Drosophila melanogaster: one gene and its partners. The protein of the gene in region 1 interacts with the protein of each later gene in a pairwise test. Each region holds a gene or a part of one and is shown in the gene's direction. Other genes may lie near its edges.

What was found. Proteins that work in one complex are often made in the same cells at the same time.
Region 2: the proteins of CG43322 (region 1) and Droj2 interact in a two-hybrid assay, tested with the Drosophila melanogaster proteins (one large-scale study listed by BioGRID).
Region 3: the proteins of CG43322 (region 1) and CG4546 interact in a two-hybrid assay, tested with the Drosophila melanogaster proteins (one large-scale study listed by BioGRID).

Annotation. Positions count from the first base shown.
Region 1 is NT_033779.5:7,011,334-7,016,068, forward strand, and holds CG43322 (uncharacterized protein), read left to right. Parts: upstream 1-2,062; 5' UTR 2,063-2,162; coding exon 2,163-2,249; intron 2,250-2,319; coding exon 2,320-3,312; 3' UTR 3,313-3,404; downstream 3,405-4,735. Other genes in the region: CG43321 (uncharacterized protein), read left to right, coding at 994-1,191; GART trifunctional enzyme, read right to left, coding at 3,753-4,735.
Region 2 is NT_033777.3:13,379,715-13,386,598, forward strand, and holds Droj2 (DnaJ-like-2), read left to right. Parts: upstream 1-2,391; 5' UTR 2,392-2,430; exon of another isoform or gene 2,431-2,489; 5' UTR 2,490-2,544; intron 2,545-3,107; exon of another isoform or gene 3,108-3,398; intron 3,399-3,550; exon of another isoform or gene 3,551-3,749; 5' UTR 3,750-3,764; coding exon 3,765-4,865; intron 4,866-4,955; coding exon 4,956-5,066; 3' UTR 5,067-5,569; downstream 5,570-6,884. Other genes in the region: CG8870 (uncharacterized protein), read left to right, coding at 426-498, 555-1,104, 1,182-1,629; mRpS21 (mitochondrial ribosomal protein S21), read right to left, coding at 1,673-1,789, 1,849-1,995; CG9799 (uncharacterized protein), read right to left, coding at 5,996-6,884.
Region 3 is NT_033777.3:15,844,267-15,849,751, forward strand, and holds CG4546 (uncharacterized protein), read left to right. Parts: upstream 1-2,267; 5' UTR 2,268-2,513; coding exon 2,514-2,522; intron 2,523-2,588; coding exon 2,589-2,839; intron 2,840-2,903; coding exon 2,904-4,017; 3' UTR 4,018-4,165; downstream 4,166-5,485. Other genes in the region: cv-d (crossveinless d), read right to left, coding at 258-498, 556-1,154, 1,239-1,418, 1,478-1,621, 4,166-4,393, 4,452-4,578, 4,634-4,749, 4,873-5,375 and 1 more.

The DNA of each region.
Region 1 (4,735 bases):
TTTGATAACAGTGAGAAACCATCAATGAAAAGTCAGCTGGGATTCTTAGACAAAAAATCAATTCTATATTTGTGGTATGTAAATGATTATTCAATGTTAACTCAATCTTAACTAAATACCATTGTTTGCACTTGGACCTGGTTAAAACCAATTAACTTAGCCGATGAGAATAGCCGAATTTAGAGTTAATTAATTTTAGTTTATCATTCCTTTAACAAGAATGATTTATTAAGCTTTTCACTTCCTTTCTTTTCAAATTAAAAATAAATGCTTGTAAACAGATAAAACGAAAATGATGATAAATAATGCACTGCTTCCAGTAGAAATATAAAGCAGATAAATCGATCCAATTTACACATCCACTGGAATAAAACAATTTAATTATAGGGTACACGCGATCATTAGACTCCCATCTATCCATTTTCGAATAAGTTTTTACTTCCTTCTCAAAAACAGGTCATGATTATTATTTCGGTGCAATTAAAATGTGTCTTGACTTCTTAGGAAGTAGAAAAGGAAATTTAGTTTTCCTAATGCTAAAGCATTAGTTAAGGGAATATGAATAAAGGGAACTATCTAATTACATTTAAAACTTGTTTAGTTTTACAATTCCTTTTGAAAACACAAATTCTTTCCAAATGACACCTTTTATTCTACGCTCCGTTAATCAACAAACAAACACAACACTGCTGCAGGTCGAATATTAAAATAAAAGGCAATACCCTTCCTTAGACGGAAATGTAGACAATTGCAAGCCAATTGAAGAGGGACGATCAGACGGTTGACAAAATCAGTCGTTTGAGCCAGCAGAACGGAAGTTCCATATAGGGCGCACACTCAAATATTCCGATGAGGGTTTTGGATCCGCGTTTAGGTTCTGGGGCGTGCCTGTCCCAATTTGGCCGGAGAAAGTCTTGAAATTTCTATCAGAATAATGTCGTATTCCATTTCCGAACACACACTAAAATCAGTTACCGAAATAAAAACACAAAAATGCCATTTCGTGGAGACAACTTCAAGGACTTTAAAGAAATAAATAAAATTCGAAAGGAGAACAATAAATACAAGTACATCGCTGTTTTCATCACAGTTATACCCGGCATTATATTGGGCGGATTTATGGGCAAGAAATTGGCCCAATTCCTCGAAGTATTTGATCTTTATGCGCCCGATGTCTCGGAAGATGATTAATATAACAACCATGGCGCATATGGAACTTCTACATGGTGAACCAAATGAATTTGGAGCAAACTTGTGCATATCCTGTTTGGATATATGCTAATGTGCCAATCCAAACAGGCCAAACGGGATGCTAGGAAAGAAAACTCAACGCAAACAACTGCCCAGACCGGTAACCAAATTCAAAGCAGGGTAATAAGTGCACAGATCAATTGAATCATAATTAGTGCAAAGAGCTCAAAATCAAACAAGTTTTTAACAATAAATGTGCCTTTTCATTCATGTATTTAGAATGGTTTCTTTCTAGGGAAGGTGTCCATTTCATATTAAGCATCTTACCCAACGTCAGCTTTATATTTTATAATTCAAGATTTTTTAGTGTAGGTCGCGCAATTAAATAATTTTTAATTATGACACAATTACCTAGAACAAACGCGAGTTTCCAGTCTATGTAGAGCATGAATTGTAGTTTGAATTGCAGATGAGCGTTGCTCGCCCGCAGATTTGGTCATCGCCAGGCTTTAATTGCAACTAGTAAGTGTGGAAATTTGCTTCTTTAGATTTGGGTTAGACTTTCATTTAGAACAAGCACGCATACATTTAACAAATTTCGTATACTAACATGCTAAATATGTGCACACATTTATCAGTACTCGTACACCTAGCTTATATTTTTATTTTGCCATTCTTACTTTTAAATATTTCTTGGTTCTCAAATATTATGATCTCAAAAAACATAACGTTTGGCATAATTCAAATAATTAAATTTGATGCATCCCTGGAGTGACTATAACGGCTAAAATACTAAAAATGTCTTGCAGTATTTTTATACTACACCTACACCTACAAAACAAAACAACTATTATCAACAGCTGATCGCACGAAAAACATAAACAAATGGTTTAGGTTGTAGAATTTCCTTTAATGTCAGACAGCGTAGCTCGAAAATTGTTTAGAAAATAACTCCATAAAGTGTAGTAAAAATGTGGTTGGCTGGGAATCTGTTCAAAGGATCCGTAGCAATCAGATTCGGTCGCTTGCTGCATCTCAAGCGCAAGGAGGTTTATATGGTGAGTACAAGTTGTCTCAAGATTTCTAGCATTTCGAACCATTATGCAATATTGCACCTGCTATCTTTAGGAATGCTTCCGCATCCTGGGCGTTCACGAATCAGCTGATCAGAATACGGTACGCCACGCCTACTTGGATCTGGTGAAACGGGTGCATCCCGATTCGGGAACGGAGGAGGCCAGTGCCGAACGCTTCCAGCAGGTGGACGAGGCTTTCCGTGTGCTGCAGGAAAAGTTCGCCAAGGGAAGGCGAAACATTCAGGAGGACGAGGAGGGGGCCATGGAGTTTGACATCAAGCATACGGCGCCGCAGCACCGGCAATATCTGTCCAACGAGGGCATCGGAGTGGGAACTCCATTTCAGCGGCAAAAGCAGTACCAGCAGGTGCGCGCCATGAAGGCTCAGGAACGCGTCCTGGAGCACCGCATCGACAAGGCGGCTGCCGGAGAGAAAACACTAATGTCCAAGGGCGGCAGCCACTTTCGGAAACATGCTATTAAGACCAAGTACGGTATTGATCGTGTGGTCGAGGATCTCATTCAGGAGGCCATGTCCAAGGGTGACTTTAACAATCTAAACGGGTCTGGAAAGCCCCTGTCCTCGGCTCAGTCGCAGAATCCCTATCTGGACTTTACGACCCACAAGTTGAACAAGATTATGTTAGACAACGGCTTCACGCCGGAATGGATAAGCCTGGGCAAGGATATTCGCGATGCGATTGCTCAGCTGAAGACGAAACTGCGCCAGGAGCGCAAATACTACGGCGAATGGCCATTGCAGCGCCCGGACGATCTGGCAGCCTGGAAAATATTCACGCTGAATCACCAGGACGATGTGAAGCAATTGAACAAACTCATTGACAAGTACAATCTAATAGTGCCCATTCTGGAAAATCAGTTCTTTCGCCTGCATCTCGACAGAATGGCCGAACCTATATTTAAGGATCCGGAATTGCAACGTAACGTAATCAGACCCGAAATGAAATCTAAGCCCAGCAGCAATCTAGAGAATCAGGGCAGCGCTAGTACAAGTTTATTTTCCCTAATTAGCAAACTATTGTAATTAAAAATGTGTGATTGTAAAATATGTGATATTAGATGTAGATTAAGGTGCTGTACGTTTATGTGTACAATATATGTACGAAATAGTTCAATAATCCAAGAGACCTTTTTGTTATTATAACATTAAAATCATTGATATGTTCTTTGTTGTAAATCGAGTGATAAAAAATATTGGATTTTTTTATATATAGTTTAATTAATGTGTACAAATTTTTTGCGATTTTTTTAATCAAACTTGAAGTTTATTAATATATTTTTGTAGTTTTTATATAAAAAGAAACGCAGCCTAAACCTATAAAAATTGCTATACAACTTATTAACGTCAAATTATCGCTGAATGTTCAAGATTATAATTATAACTAATTTGACAAAAAGTCTTCGAGTAAGATAAACTCATCCCTGCTTGTTATATTTAAATTGTCAGGTTTCACAAGCTGGCATTTACTGACTGCTGACTTCCGGAGAAATGAGAGCTGTTCCGTTGACCAACATTGCTAATGCCCTTGGAAAAGCCCAGTGCTCAGCCTTGTGGATGCGTTGGGTCAGCGAATCCTCGTCGTCATCGGGCAAAATGGGAACAGCAGCCTGAACAATGATCGCTCCCGTGTCCACACCCTCGTCCACGAAGTGAACCGTGCAGCCGGACTCCTTTTCGCCCGCCTCCAAGGCCTGCTTCTGGACATGCAGACCAGGATACTTGGGCAGCAGCGAGGGATGGATATTGACGAGCCGTCCACGCCACTCTCGAACGAATGGAGCACTCAGGACACGCATGAAGCCGGCAAGGCAGATCAAATCCACACGAGCCGCCTTCAGATTTCGCGTAAGTTCCGCATCATAGACCTCTCGGCTAGCGAAATCCTTGTGGGAGATGACCAACGAAGGTATTCCGGCTTGCGTGGCTCGCTGCAGACCCAGAACACCAGTCTTATTGCTGATTACCAGCACAACATCGGCATGGATACCCTGTGCCGAGTCGCGCGTTGCATCAATTAGTGCTTGCAGGTTGCTGCCCGTTCCCGAAATGAGAACAGCAACTCGTTTCCGACGCTGCGAGAGCATCTTCTGTGTCCTGGCCAATGATGCCTCAAAGTTCTGGACCACCACCTGCGACTTCTTCGGATCCTTGCGTGCCACCACCTCGCCGACCACAGCTGCTCTTTGCGGATAACGCAGCTCCTTAAGAACGTCCTCGACTTCCGTCGGGGCCACCACCAGAACCATCCCCAAGCCGCAGTTATATGTGCGCTGCAGCTCAGTGGAGCTGATATTTCCGGCCGCTGCAAGCCAGGCGAAAACGGGCGGAAGCTGGAACTTATTGGCATCCAGGCGCACGGCCAAATCCTTACGCAATACTCGCGGTATATTCTCGCTCAGGCCTCCTCCTGTGATGTGGGCTAGTGCCTTGATGCCGTGTTTTCCGC
Region 2 (6,884 bases), on another chromosome or scaffold:
TTCTAGTTTACGTGAAAAGGTAGGCAGGTCTGCTGCGTTCGAGGAAAGAAAGTATTCTGAGCCGTATACCGTGGAACACTGCGGCCACAAAAGCTTCATTTTGTCTCTCCTGCCGCAAAAAGCTATCTAAGTTATTCTCATAAAGAGAGAAAATCACTCAAAGCACACATATGGTACTCAACAGCAAAATTCTAACCAGAAACCGTTTTCTGCATCCGAAACTGTTTTCATAATGACATTTTTAAATAGTTCCGTAATATTTGAGAGCTCTGTCGCTACTAGCATAAAAAATTGTTCTTTTGATGAGCAATAAATTGATTAAAAATTGAATAAAACTACTCAGAACAATGTTAAAAATAAGAATAAATAGCTTCGACAGTCCTAACAGTCTTGAACAGTTGTATGTGAAATATTCGTGGATCAACATGTTGTTCGGACTTATAGGATCATTTTTGCTTATGCTGCAAATAATTCTTGTGCCTTATTCAAATGGTGCAGGTAACTTTCAGCATGCATAAACTTTGTACGCAATTTAAAATCTATCCTTCCTTCAGGGTGTCAATTTGATACGGAATGCGTGAATCTGGATAAGTGTCCCAGGACCAGAGCAGTTATGAACTCATCCAGGAAAAATATAATAGGTCTTAGAAGATGCGGCACTAATAAAGTGTGCTGCCCCAAGTGGGAAACGTATCTGCCACACGATACTTGTGGACAATCAAGAAGAAAACCTACGAAGGGCAAAATACCGGCGCTGAATGAGTTTCCCTGGATGGCCATGCTGTTATATGGAAATAAAAACAATTTGTCCCAGAAGCTGGTACCAAAATGTGGTGGATCCCTAATAAACAACTGGTACGTCCTGACCGCAGCGCACTGCGTGGAGTATCCATTTATGGACTATCCGTATGCCCTCAAAACAGTGAGACTGGGCGAACATAACACGTCCACAAATCCCGATCGGGCTATTGTGAATGGAAGAAGACAGTACGCTCCTCTTTATATGGAAATTGAAGTGGACCAAATTATTACGCATGAACAATTCAACCGGGGAAGGCGGCTGATAAACGACATAGCACTCGTGCGTCTTAAGTTTCCTGTGCGGTGAGTAATGATTCTCCTCTGGTCGAAATAGAAGTAGGATATGAATTGAAATAATATATCTTTATATCTTCCTATAGCTATACGAGAGCCATCCAACCTATTTGCCTTCCAAGAGCCCAAAAATTGGCCGCGCATAAGCGAAAGTTTCAAGCATCCGGCTGGCCAGACATGGGACAAGGAATTGCAAGTGAGGTACTCTTGCGCAGCTTCATCGCGGAACGGCATCCAGATGTGTGCAAATCAAATTATGACTTTAATTTGGGCAGTCAGATATGTGCTGGTGGTCTGGATGGGAATGACACCAGTCCCGGCGATTCCGGGGGACCCTTAATGGAGACCGTGATACGTGGAAAGGTCACACTCACTTATGCAGCCGGCATAATCTCCTACGGACAGAAGCCCTGCGTACTTAAAACTTGCAAGCCAGCATTTTACACAAAAACTTCATACTTTTTTGAATGGATAAAATCGAAATTGCAAAGTCCATTTATCGACAGCGACAGCAAATCTCGTACTAGAAAATAAGCAATTTATTTAATTCCTACATTTTATTGCCTCAAAAACTAGTTTAACTGCATCCAGGAAAAGGTTCGGCGCGATTTTTGCGCAGTACGAACTGAATTTTTCGGTTCATGTCCTCGTTGTAAATGGCCTTGCATTTCTCGAAGTTGATGCGACGACGAACCTATACAATAGTTTAATACAGTAAATAATAATAAATAGTTAAGTTATTTAAAGTCGAACCTGATACGGCTTTTCGTAGAATCGCGTGCGGCGAAATTGGTCGAGCAGTTCTTCTTTTCCCAAGACGCGATTTAACAGACGACACGCCTCCTCCACATTATTGTTTTGCACCAGAACGGTGCGGGCCAGAAACTGCACGTGTCTCATTTCGGATAAGTAGTTTTATTTTATAAAGTTTTCCAAATGTTTATTAAATAATCGGCTTTCAAAACAGTGTGACCATTTACTGTACTGCTAAACAGCTGATGAATATCACTAACCAGGGCTAACGATTGCTAATAAGAATCGTGGACTCAGAAGGAGTACTTTGAGAACCACTCAACTTAATAAATAAGAAAAATATTTATTCAACACAGTATTTATTAATGCATTGCCAAAATTATTTCTGTAATGCCCATCACACTTAAGAAATACATATTATATCCCATCAAATTATCAAAAATTGCTAATCACCTGAAAATGACTAAAATACCAGTTTTCGGACCTTTGCGGTGCGAGGCAACCCTGATGTTGTGGTTTTTCTTGCCGTTTGCCGCTCTGGTCACACTGGTTTCCAGTTTTCTTCCTAGCGTGGCGGCCATAGTAAGCTGTTGAAAAGTATTCGACGTAAATTAAATTTGTTGTAAAAGTGAAACTTCCAGGAATCGGGCTGCGAAAGTTACTATTTGCTTTAGGCACGACACGACACGAAAAAAGGTGAGCTGGGGCGGCTCTGGGCTAATTAAGATTACCACCTGATTTTGCACATTTCGTCTCGCATTGTGCGGTTTGCCAATGTGTGTGTCTACTTGGTAGACACTTCCTTTGCGCTTGGTTTTCTCATCTCTGTCGTTAAGTAATCATCGATAATTGTTTTTTGTCAGAGAATTTGCCTTCGATTTTTGGCATTAGATTTGCAAAATCGATGGCCATCTAGCTTTTTTTCTCTTCTTTGTTCAATCGAATTCTTCTGACGCAGCGTCTTGCGCGGCACATGTTGGTACGCATACAAGCGCAAAGTCTGGTGCATGTGTGTGCTAGGCACTGGTGAAAATATAATAATTGTATCTATTGATTTGCCTGCTAAATCGAAGGCTGCTTCTAGAATTCATTTCCATTCTTATTTTCGACTCTGCCCTTTCTCCTTTCATTTGTTCCCCTTTTCGTTCTTTTACGGTTTTTTCATTATTACCCTCTCCGCTTTGCAGTCGCCGTTCGCAAAACCAGGGCTGCAATGCGCTGACGAAAACTTCTAGAAACTGTGTGTATGTGTGCGTGCGAAAGAGAAGCGGTTGTTGTCGAAAGGGGGAAAGAGAGCGTCAGCTGCTCGCCGTATTGAAATACGACAATTGTTCTAGAAAATCGACTAGAAAACGTCGCAGTTATTTTCGCGAACACATGGCGGCGTAACGACCTTGAATCCCGGGCTCTAGCTTCCGGCAATGCCTACTATTTTCCGTTGCCCCCCAAATTACACGGAAAAAAATGGGTGATGGCATCAAGTCACAGCTGTAGAAATCAATAAACAAGAAAGGGTCATATGATCGAGTGGTTTCTGGATTTTGAAAAATGTATTTCTACAAAAAAAAATGGGTAACAAAATATAGGTTACTGATTTTTGTTTACAATACTAGTTAGAGAGGAATCAGCCCTTTGAACTATGAAATGTCATTAGATATAAAACTGACAATAACTTCCATCGGGAACCTAGCTGCCATAGAAACAGCACCACAAAATAAATTTTTTTTTTTCATTTTTTATAAGAACTGGCATCCAAATCGGTTGAAACTTCAAAAATTTTCGGTATTACACAACTTCATAATTTCTACCTATATATGCCTGGAGCATACACAAATCTGTTCCCCAATCTGTTATTTACAAGCTCCCAGATAGTAATTACGCACTACTTCGTCTGTTCACAGTAAACAGCAAACAAAATGGTTAAGGAGACTGGATATTATGATATACTTGGCGTGAAGCCTAATGCCACGCCCGACGAGCTGAAGAAGGCTTACCGCAAGCTGGCCCTCAAGTACCATCCGGACAAGAACCCCAACGAGGGCGAGAAATTCAAGGCCATTTCGCAGGCTTACGAAGTGCTGTCCGATGCGGACAAGCGACAGGTGTACGACGAAGGCGGCGAGGCGGCCATCAAGAAGGGCGGCGCAGATTCCGGTGACTTCCGCAATCCTATGGACTTCTTTGAGAAGTTCTTTGGCGCTGGATTCGGAGGTAGTGGCGGTGGACGCAGGCGCGAGAGGCGTGGCAAGGACGTGGTGCACCAGATGTCCGTACAGCTGGAGGAGCTGTACAATGGAGCGACCCGCAAGCTGCAGCTCCAGAAGAATGTGATCTGCGACAAGTGCGAGGGTCGCGGCGGCAAGAAGGGCAGCATTGAGAAGTGCTTGCAGTGCCGTGGTAACGGTGTGGAGACACGGGTTCAGCAGATCGCCCCCGGCATCATGCAGCACATCGAGCAGGTGTGCCGCAAGTGTTCGGGAACTGGCGAGACCATTCAGGAGAAGGACCGCTGCAAGAACTGCAGTGGCCGCAAAACGGTGCGGGAACGCAAGGTATTGGAAGTGCACATTGAGAAGGGAATGCGGGATGGCCAGAAGATCGTGTTCACGGGAGAGGGCGATCATGAGCCGGAATCTCAGCCGGGCGATATTATTATTCTTTTGGACGAGAAGGAGCACTCCACATTCGCGCACGCCGGACAGGATTTAATGATGAAGATGCCGTTGCAACTTGTCGAAGCGCTCTGCGGATTCCAGCGAATCGTTAAAACGCTCGATGATCGCGATCTGATTGTGTCCACACAGCCCGGCGAGGTTATCAGGCATGAGATGACCAAGTGTATTGCCGAGGAGGGTATGCCCATTTTCAAGAACCCCATGGAGAAGGGCACGTTGATCATCCAGTTCGAGGTGATCTTCCCGGAGGTGATCAATCCGTCGGTGGTGCCCACGCTTAAACAGTGCCTACCCCCGGCGCCGGAGGTTGACATTCCAATCGATGCAGAGCAGACGGTTTTGGTGAGTATTTCAGTAGTAGTTTATATCACGATATATAAATAATATATTATTTATAATTAATTTATTTATCGATTTGCTTATCTTTCGCAGGAGGACTTTGATCCCAAGCAACGTCGCCAGCAACACCAGCGCATGGCCTACGATGAGGACGATGGCGGCTATCAGGATGGCCCACGCGTCCAGCAGTGCACATCGAGTTAAGCGCCCCCGCTGCGTGTTGCATCCCCGGACACACAGCCCTAATAATACCCCAACCAACAAGCCGTAATAATATGTAAACCAGCTCCCGGAACACTGTAATTGCGCTTGCAAGTGCCGAAGAACTCCCAAAAGCACCTTAAAACACCATCCAATTCACACTAGGAGGCCCAACCAATCGAGAGATCTAAAGTTATTTCATGCAAGCTACGATATTTAGGTATAAATCAAAGAAACTTATCAGATATATGCACTATGTCTATAACGCGTGGTTGTTTGTAAACCAACATTTTTCTTTATGTTTATGTTGCGTTGGATTGTCAAAGAATCGAAAACGGAAACTGAAACTAAACTAAACTGAAATTGAAATTAGCCGCCACTAGAACCGTATCTAAAGTCCGCGCCAGCGAACACGTCTAGGAACAAGTTTAAGTTATTTAATTCCAGCATAAATAAAAGCGTTAGTTTAAACGGATATAACAAATAAATAATTAATACACAATTTCAACCCAAATGCTGTATATTCTTCTTCCCATAGTTCCAGTATCACTTGCCTTCCTCCGGCTATCTATTGATTCCATAATCGCTGCATAGTCACCCGCAGGTGTGAATCATTCGAATAATGCCAATTGGAGATATCAGGCATATGGCAGTAGTTTCGTCTTGAGTACATTATTTAAAATGCTATCTGGGATAAGTAAAAGATAAAAAGAAAGATAAGGATAGTTTGGGATATATATGGTAATGCCATTAAATCGTTAAGGATATAATGAGGGATTTTGTAGTTGTTGAGGATTATAAAGCATCCTATAAATGAATCTGCGGACCTGCCTGTCGCAAGGAATAACATCAAAAGCAAATTCAAAATGTAAAATGTTTTGTAAATTTATTTACAAAATTTCAAAATGAACTACAACATAATCTGGTGGAAACTAGTGCGCAAAGTTTCGGAGAGCGGCCACAACTCCAGTTCCATAGATGAGCTTCTCCTCCACACGCTGCCAAGCCTCCTGCTGCACCTGGGACACAGTGCGCAGCTCCTTTACCAAATCCGGGAACTCCGTCAACCCGAGACCGTGGGATCGCAAGAAGACGCTTAGATACGATTGAGCCAGCTCAAAGTTCAGATTGGTTCCAAACATGAACTTAACGAGTTTGAGGAACTGCAGCATGGCAAGGAGTGTTCCTCCAGCCTCCGGGTGCAGAGATTTGATCTCAAAGTCAACCATCGATGGTCCTAGTTGGGTCAAGTGCGCCACAGCCGATGCGAAGTCCAGGGAGTCAGCAGTTTCCTCCAGCAGCTGGCCAAAGGCAGTAAGATTGTTGAGAGTAGAAGCCTTCCGAATCCGGGATTCATCCTCCTCCTTCTGACCGTTCTCCACATCGAAGCGCAGTTCCAGTCCCGAAACCGTGGGCAGGAAGAATGGGGCCTGTTTGGGAGCTTTTGGTGGTGCCTTGGGCTTGTTACGTTGCTTGATTAGCTCCAAATCCAATAGATTCTGCCAACGGGATGCAGCCAACCCGGATAGCGTTATCAGTTCCTCGGACAGCTGCGTTGGAGTTTCGTACTTGGTGTCAACTAGCTCGCCGAGTTTTGACTCGTCCTCTTCGTCGATCTCTAGCTCCTTCATGCCATCTTCCAGTTCCATGGCATCGCACACATTCGTGGGCAATCCCACGTACGGAGCCGGCTCCAAAGGATCGATGGAGCGCAGGGAAATCTGATTAAACAGCGTCTTGTTGGCCCACAGGTAAATGCCCAAAAGTCCAACATGTGCGGTGGCCAGAAAGTCGCCATTAGGCGACATACTTAACGATACG
Region 3 (5,485 bases), on another chromosome or scaffold:
ATTACGTTAAATATTTTCTATGTTATGTTGAATGATCTCTCTTCGTTCAATTACGAAGTGTAAAATGTGAAATATAATTTTTTGTTAATTACATCTTTAAAGATATCATTAAATACGAAGACAGCTATACTAACCAGTTCATTACAAGCAAAAATCCATAAACTGCTTGCTGTTTATAAAAATCAAAGCCCTGGGGCGTGCATGTTCTCCCTTTTTGGGCTCTTTTTTTTATTTTAGATTAAACTCACACATTATATTTATGCAACTACAACTACATCGGAGGAATTCTGCAGCGGCACAGGAGTTGGAGTGTTTGCCTCCAGCTCGCAGATCGTATAATTCTGCATGCGGTTTAGGGGCTTGCTGCACAGCCCACACATCTGGTGCTTATACACGCCGTATATCTCGAAATTCAGGATGTTGTACAGATCGAACTGGATGGTGGAGGACAGCTGCGTACACTCCACAATTAAAATATTTTGCTCGTTAAGTTCCACGCTGAAAGGGCATATGGCGTTTATAAAATTGTATATAAAAGCTAAAAAGCATTCTTACCGGAAGTCGTAGTCACTAGTCTCAATTGGCCATTGATATGGCTTTTTGCGCACGTTGTGCGGTGTTTGATCCTGGTTAAGATATATGAGCACTGGTTCATCCGTGGGCAGGCTGCTGTTGTCTGTGCGGGCGCGGAAGTTGAAGTAGTTTTGCCCGATATGGACTCGTAATCCATAGTTGGTGGACAGTCCTTGAACAGGCGAAGGCGTAACAAACACTGCAATCTGTGGCAATGGCGAACAGTCAGCCACCAGCAGCGTGAGACAGTCGGGACGCACCGCAATCTCTCTGAGATTGATTAGGTAATCATCGAAGGTATTGACTATGCCATTGATTACTGAGCAGGAGCGCTTAAGTCCTGAGTCGAAGGTAAGCTCGTGGGAAGCGTCGAACTTCGAGTCCAGCTTGTAGAAGAAGGGGATCTGATGGAAACGCCACTTCACTCCGTTGACCTCCACAGCCAGCCTGAACTGGTCCTGAGGAGTTTGCATTGATATATTTATCTCCTGGCTCATATGCAGACTGTCCACCTTGTCGGCGGATAAGGCGGACACTAAGTGGTCCAGTCGATTCGACCACAGCTCGAACCAGGCGGGCATCTTAAAAAATATAAAGGTGAGTTGATTGGTCTTTTATATATCTTTTCGGAGCGGAAAGTAATTTGATATATCTGATATACTTACATTGTCAAACTTCAGGTCCATGTCGTATTGTGTGATCGAGGTGAAGTTCTCAAAGTTGCTACGCTTGCAATACCTGGAAGTGGGTATGGGCGAGAACTTCAGTACCTCCTTGGGACAGAAGTCGGTGTCCGTCAGCGAGATCTTGTCGGAGCGGAGGAAGGCACGGGCATGCTCCGAGGGCTGGCGAGATGAAAACGTTGGGTTAAAAGAGAATCCACTTCGGGCTTATGTACACTTACACCAGCTCTAGCTGCAAACTGCACCGTGGAACCCTTCTCCGGGCACTCGCTCTCCTCGGTGGCCAGGCCAAACACCACATCGCCATTCAGAGTGTGAGGTCGCTTGGTAAACACCAGCGGTTCATAGGTCAACTTGGTGCAGGCCTAAGGAAAATTATGCAAATGAGTGAGAAAATCCTGTATCCTTAAGTGAAACACCATGTGTTTTTTTTAATGCTTTTTAAAATAAACCTAAAATCTGTCAACTTGATTTTCCAATTATGAAATATGGAATACAATTTAATTTCCTAGCCGGTGGTTCTTCACACAGTATGTCCCAGTAGGTCAATAGCCAGCTATGCTCGGCACGAGTCAAGTGCTCCTTTTGGGTGGCGGGTGTGACACCCTGTAAGTATTATGTAGTTACACTGCTTTCCTCAAGCGTGGAGGCAAGAAAATGTGGGGTTCAGCTGTTCGCTGAAGCTCCAGGCGAGTGGAGTGGGCCACATTACCATGACGAAACAGCAGACAACGGAGCCACAACAACTGCAGCAACGATTAGCGAACCCACACACATCCTGACTGTATGATTGTATGGCCCTCTTCCGCCCCACCGTTCGTGCCTGCGTGCCACCTTACTACACACACACACACACACGCAACCCATCCTTTCAAGCACTCAAGCAGTCGCCGCAATTGTTGGCCCACATTCGTGGGTTGTTTGCGTCCCGGAATCGAGACCGAGAACCGAGTCTGGCAACCGGACTAGAGTAAAGCAGGCCTGGCGGTGTAAGTAGCCCCGTTTGATCAATACGACTCGGTGGGAGCTCAGTAGAAGGCATCCAGTTACGCTACTGTTCAGACGAATTTCTCCTGTCGTAAATTTGTTTTGGGAAAAAATTACATTTTCTTTTATTTTGTAAGAACGCTGTAAAAATCTGGAAAAAAGACCCAGTGCTCTCGACCTATTTTATTTCGGTACCGCCATCGGGAGCATTCAGTTGCGTTGCTTTTATAAATTTATGTTTACTTGATTCTCGGTCGGACAAACTGCAAAATGACTTCGGTAAGTGATATATAAGAAGCATAATAGATATGGATTCTTATGTAGCCACTTTACCTGCTTCTCCAGATCGAGTCAAAACGCGTCCAATATCGAAAGTATTTGGAACGCGCCGGAGTCATCGATGCCTTAAGCAAGGCTCTGATTAAGCTTTACGAAGAGCAGAATAAGCCGGAGGATGCCATTCGCTTTGTACGCAAGTTTATGTGCGAGAGCTGCCCGGACGATGCCCAGTACGATGTAATGAAGAACGACCTCGAGGAGGCCAAGACCCACATCTCGAAACTGGAGCAGGAGCTTGAACGGCTACGCGGACAAATGTGAGTTTCTAAGATCGCGTCTTGTCTGTCCAGTCTTGATTTAGATTCTATTTACACTCAATAGCAAAAAGTCACCGGAGGAGTACCAGGAGCTCACTACTGAGGGCTACAAATCGCTCATGGATGATGAGGAGAACGTGAGCTCACTGCTGCGCAAATACCTGACTCCGGAATTGCTGGAGGAGTACATGCTGGTCACCACACCTGCGCCGGTGGATGCCTACCTATACGATTGCGCCGTCTCCGGATTCGAGCACCACGACGCGCCCGTGGGCATTTTCGCGGCAGATGCTGACAGCTATGACGTGTTCAACAAACTCTTTGATCCGATCATAAAGGACTATCATGGCCAGATGGACAACGAGAACGATGTGCTGCAGAAAGACCCAGACTTTGGCAACGTGGACGAGATCGAGAACTTGGATCCGGAGCGCAAGTACATTCTGTCCGCACGAATCAGATTGGCTCGCAATATCGAAGGTCTGCCCTTCTTCCCCAAACTGACCGAGAAGCAATTCATAGAGGTGGAGGAGAAGGTGCGTTCGGCCACGGAGACAATGGATGGCGAGCTGATTGGCTCCTATCTGACAATGGCGGACATCGATGCTGAGACCCAGGCGGAGATGGTCAAGAGACATATATTATTCCAGCGCGGCGATGAGAAGCTGACCACAGCCGGCTGCTATCGTTTCTGGCCAACTGGTCGTGGTGTCTACCACAATCCCGCCGAGACCTTCTTGATCTGGGTGAATCGCCAGGACCATGTGCACATTATGTCCATGGCACAGTGCGGCGACTTGGGCGATGTTTACAATCGCCTTGTCAACGGTCTAACCGAACTGGAGAAGACGTTGGCCTTTGCCCGGCATCCGCGTTATGGAAACCTTACGGCTTGCCCCACCAATTTGGGCACCACCCTGCGGGCTTCGGTGCACATCCGTCTGCCGCTACTCAGCAAGGACCCCGATCGTCTACTCGCCCTCGCCGAGGAACAGCAGCTGCAGGTACGCGGCACCGATGGCGGCGAGCTGTCCACCGTGGAAGATGGTGTCATGGACATATCAAATAAGAGGAAGCTTGGTTTCACCGAGTTCGAACTGGTCAAAACTCTGCAGGATGGCGTTGTGACCCTGATTAACGCAGAGGAAGAGCTCGAAATATCCGGACAGGAGGGTTAGAAACAAATAGCCAATACTTAAAAACCTTGTAAAGCAATTAATATCACTATAAAGTACTCACGAACACTCACAGACGAACACTTAGAGAAACAGGAGAAACGTATCTTTGGTTAAATAAATTTGTCCCTAGCCACAGACAATCACTCACCTTCCAGTCGTCCTCGTCATCCTTTGAATTTCGCTGAACCTGGCCGGTCAGCTTGAACCAATTGGACTTGGTCGATGCCAGCACGTCCAGGGTAATGTTCCATCTATGAAGTGCATCCGCAGCATGATTTTCGTTCATGTGGTCCGTGTGCTCCAATGTAAGGCCGATCTGCTTGCCTTTCATGTCCGACGTTTTCAAAACGTCTTCGGCACAAAAGTTACCTTCGATCTGAACGAAAATTGGTTTTAGCTTTAAATATTGTTAAATATTTAATTTTATTTCTCACCCTGGTGTTCTTCTCGTTGTACATAAGCATGGTAAAGTTGCGATCGTGGCCCAGGTGTATGGAACTTAGCTGGGTGAAGCCAAATATGTACATCAAAGCATTGACCACCATATTGCCGGAGAACCCACTGGAAGTGAAGTGATTAGCTGAGTAGCAAATCGGTTTCGAAATTCAAAAATTACTTCTCCGTGAACTCGGACTTTAGCAGCATCCCCCTGTACTTGATGAGCTCGTTGAGATTGGTGGTCATGCTCAGTCGGACGCCCAAATCCGTCATTGGGTAGCTAAATAGTTGAACCTGCGAGCTTGACTTTATTATTATTCTTAATTTTACCCATTTTCAGATGCTTAAAGTAGTTAATTAAATTTAGTTAATTTATTTCATATATTTTGGTATTATTTTTCTCAACAAAACACTTACCACATCGTTCCGACCCTCGGGCACCATGATCTCTTCGAAGGGCGCCGCCGCTGTCTTCGTGATCAAACCCCTGGTCTTGGTCACCGCCCGCGACTTGAAGGACAGGCCACTGGTCAGGTTTTGGGGTCGGGAGAAGGAGTAGCGCCTGCACTTACTGCCACTCTCGTTCAGATGCAGTTCGCTGCTAAAGGGGATGTAGATGAGGAAGCCCTGCTCCCGGTTGATCTCGTGATCGAGGTTGAGGAACGGATTGTAGCTACGACTCCGCACCGAGGCGTATGAAGAGTATCGGGCATCGATTTCCAGCGTGTGCTTGGTTATGGGCGAGTTCCGCTGCTCTGTTATATTACCACGCAACGAGGTTAGTACGGTGGTCTGCAGCAGGACGTCGGAGGAGGTTCCCAGCACCGTGGGCACCGTGTAGCGATTCATGAAAGGCCAACGAACAGTCTGCATGTTTATGTGACTGTCTGTCCGAATGATTTGCTGCATTCTTTCCAGAACTGTGGAAAACGGGCATGAACCGCACATGGCTGATGGTCAAGAGGTCAATGTACTCACTGTTGTCGTAGGTCAGCTGCCGGAACATCCGCTGGTTGAGGTAGTACGACAG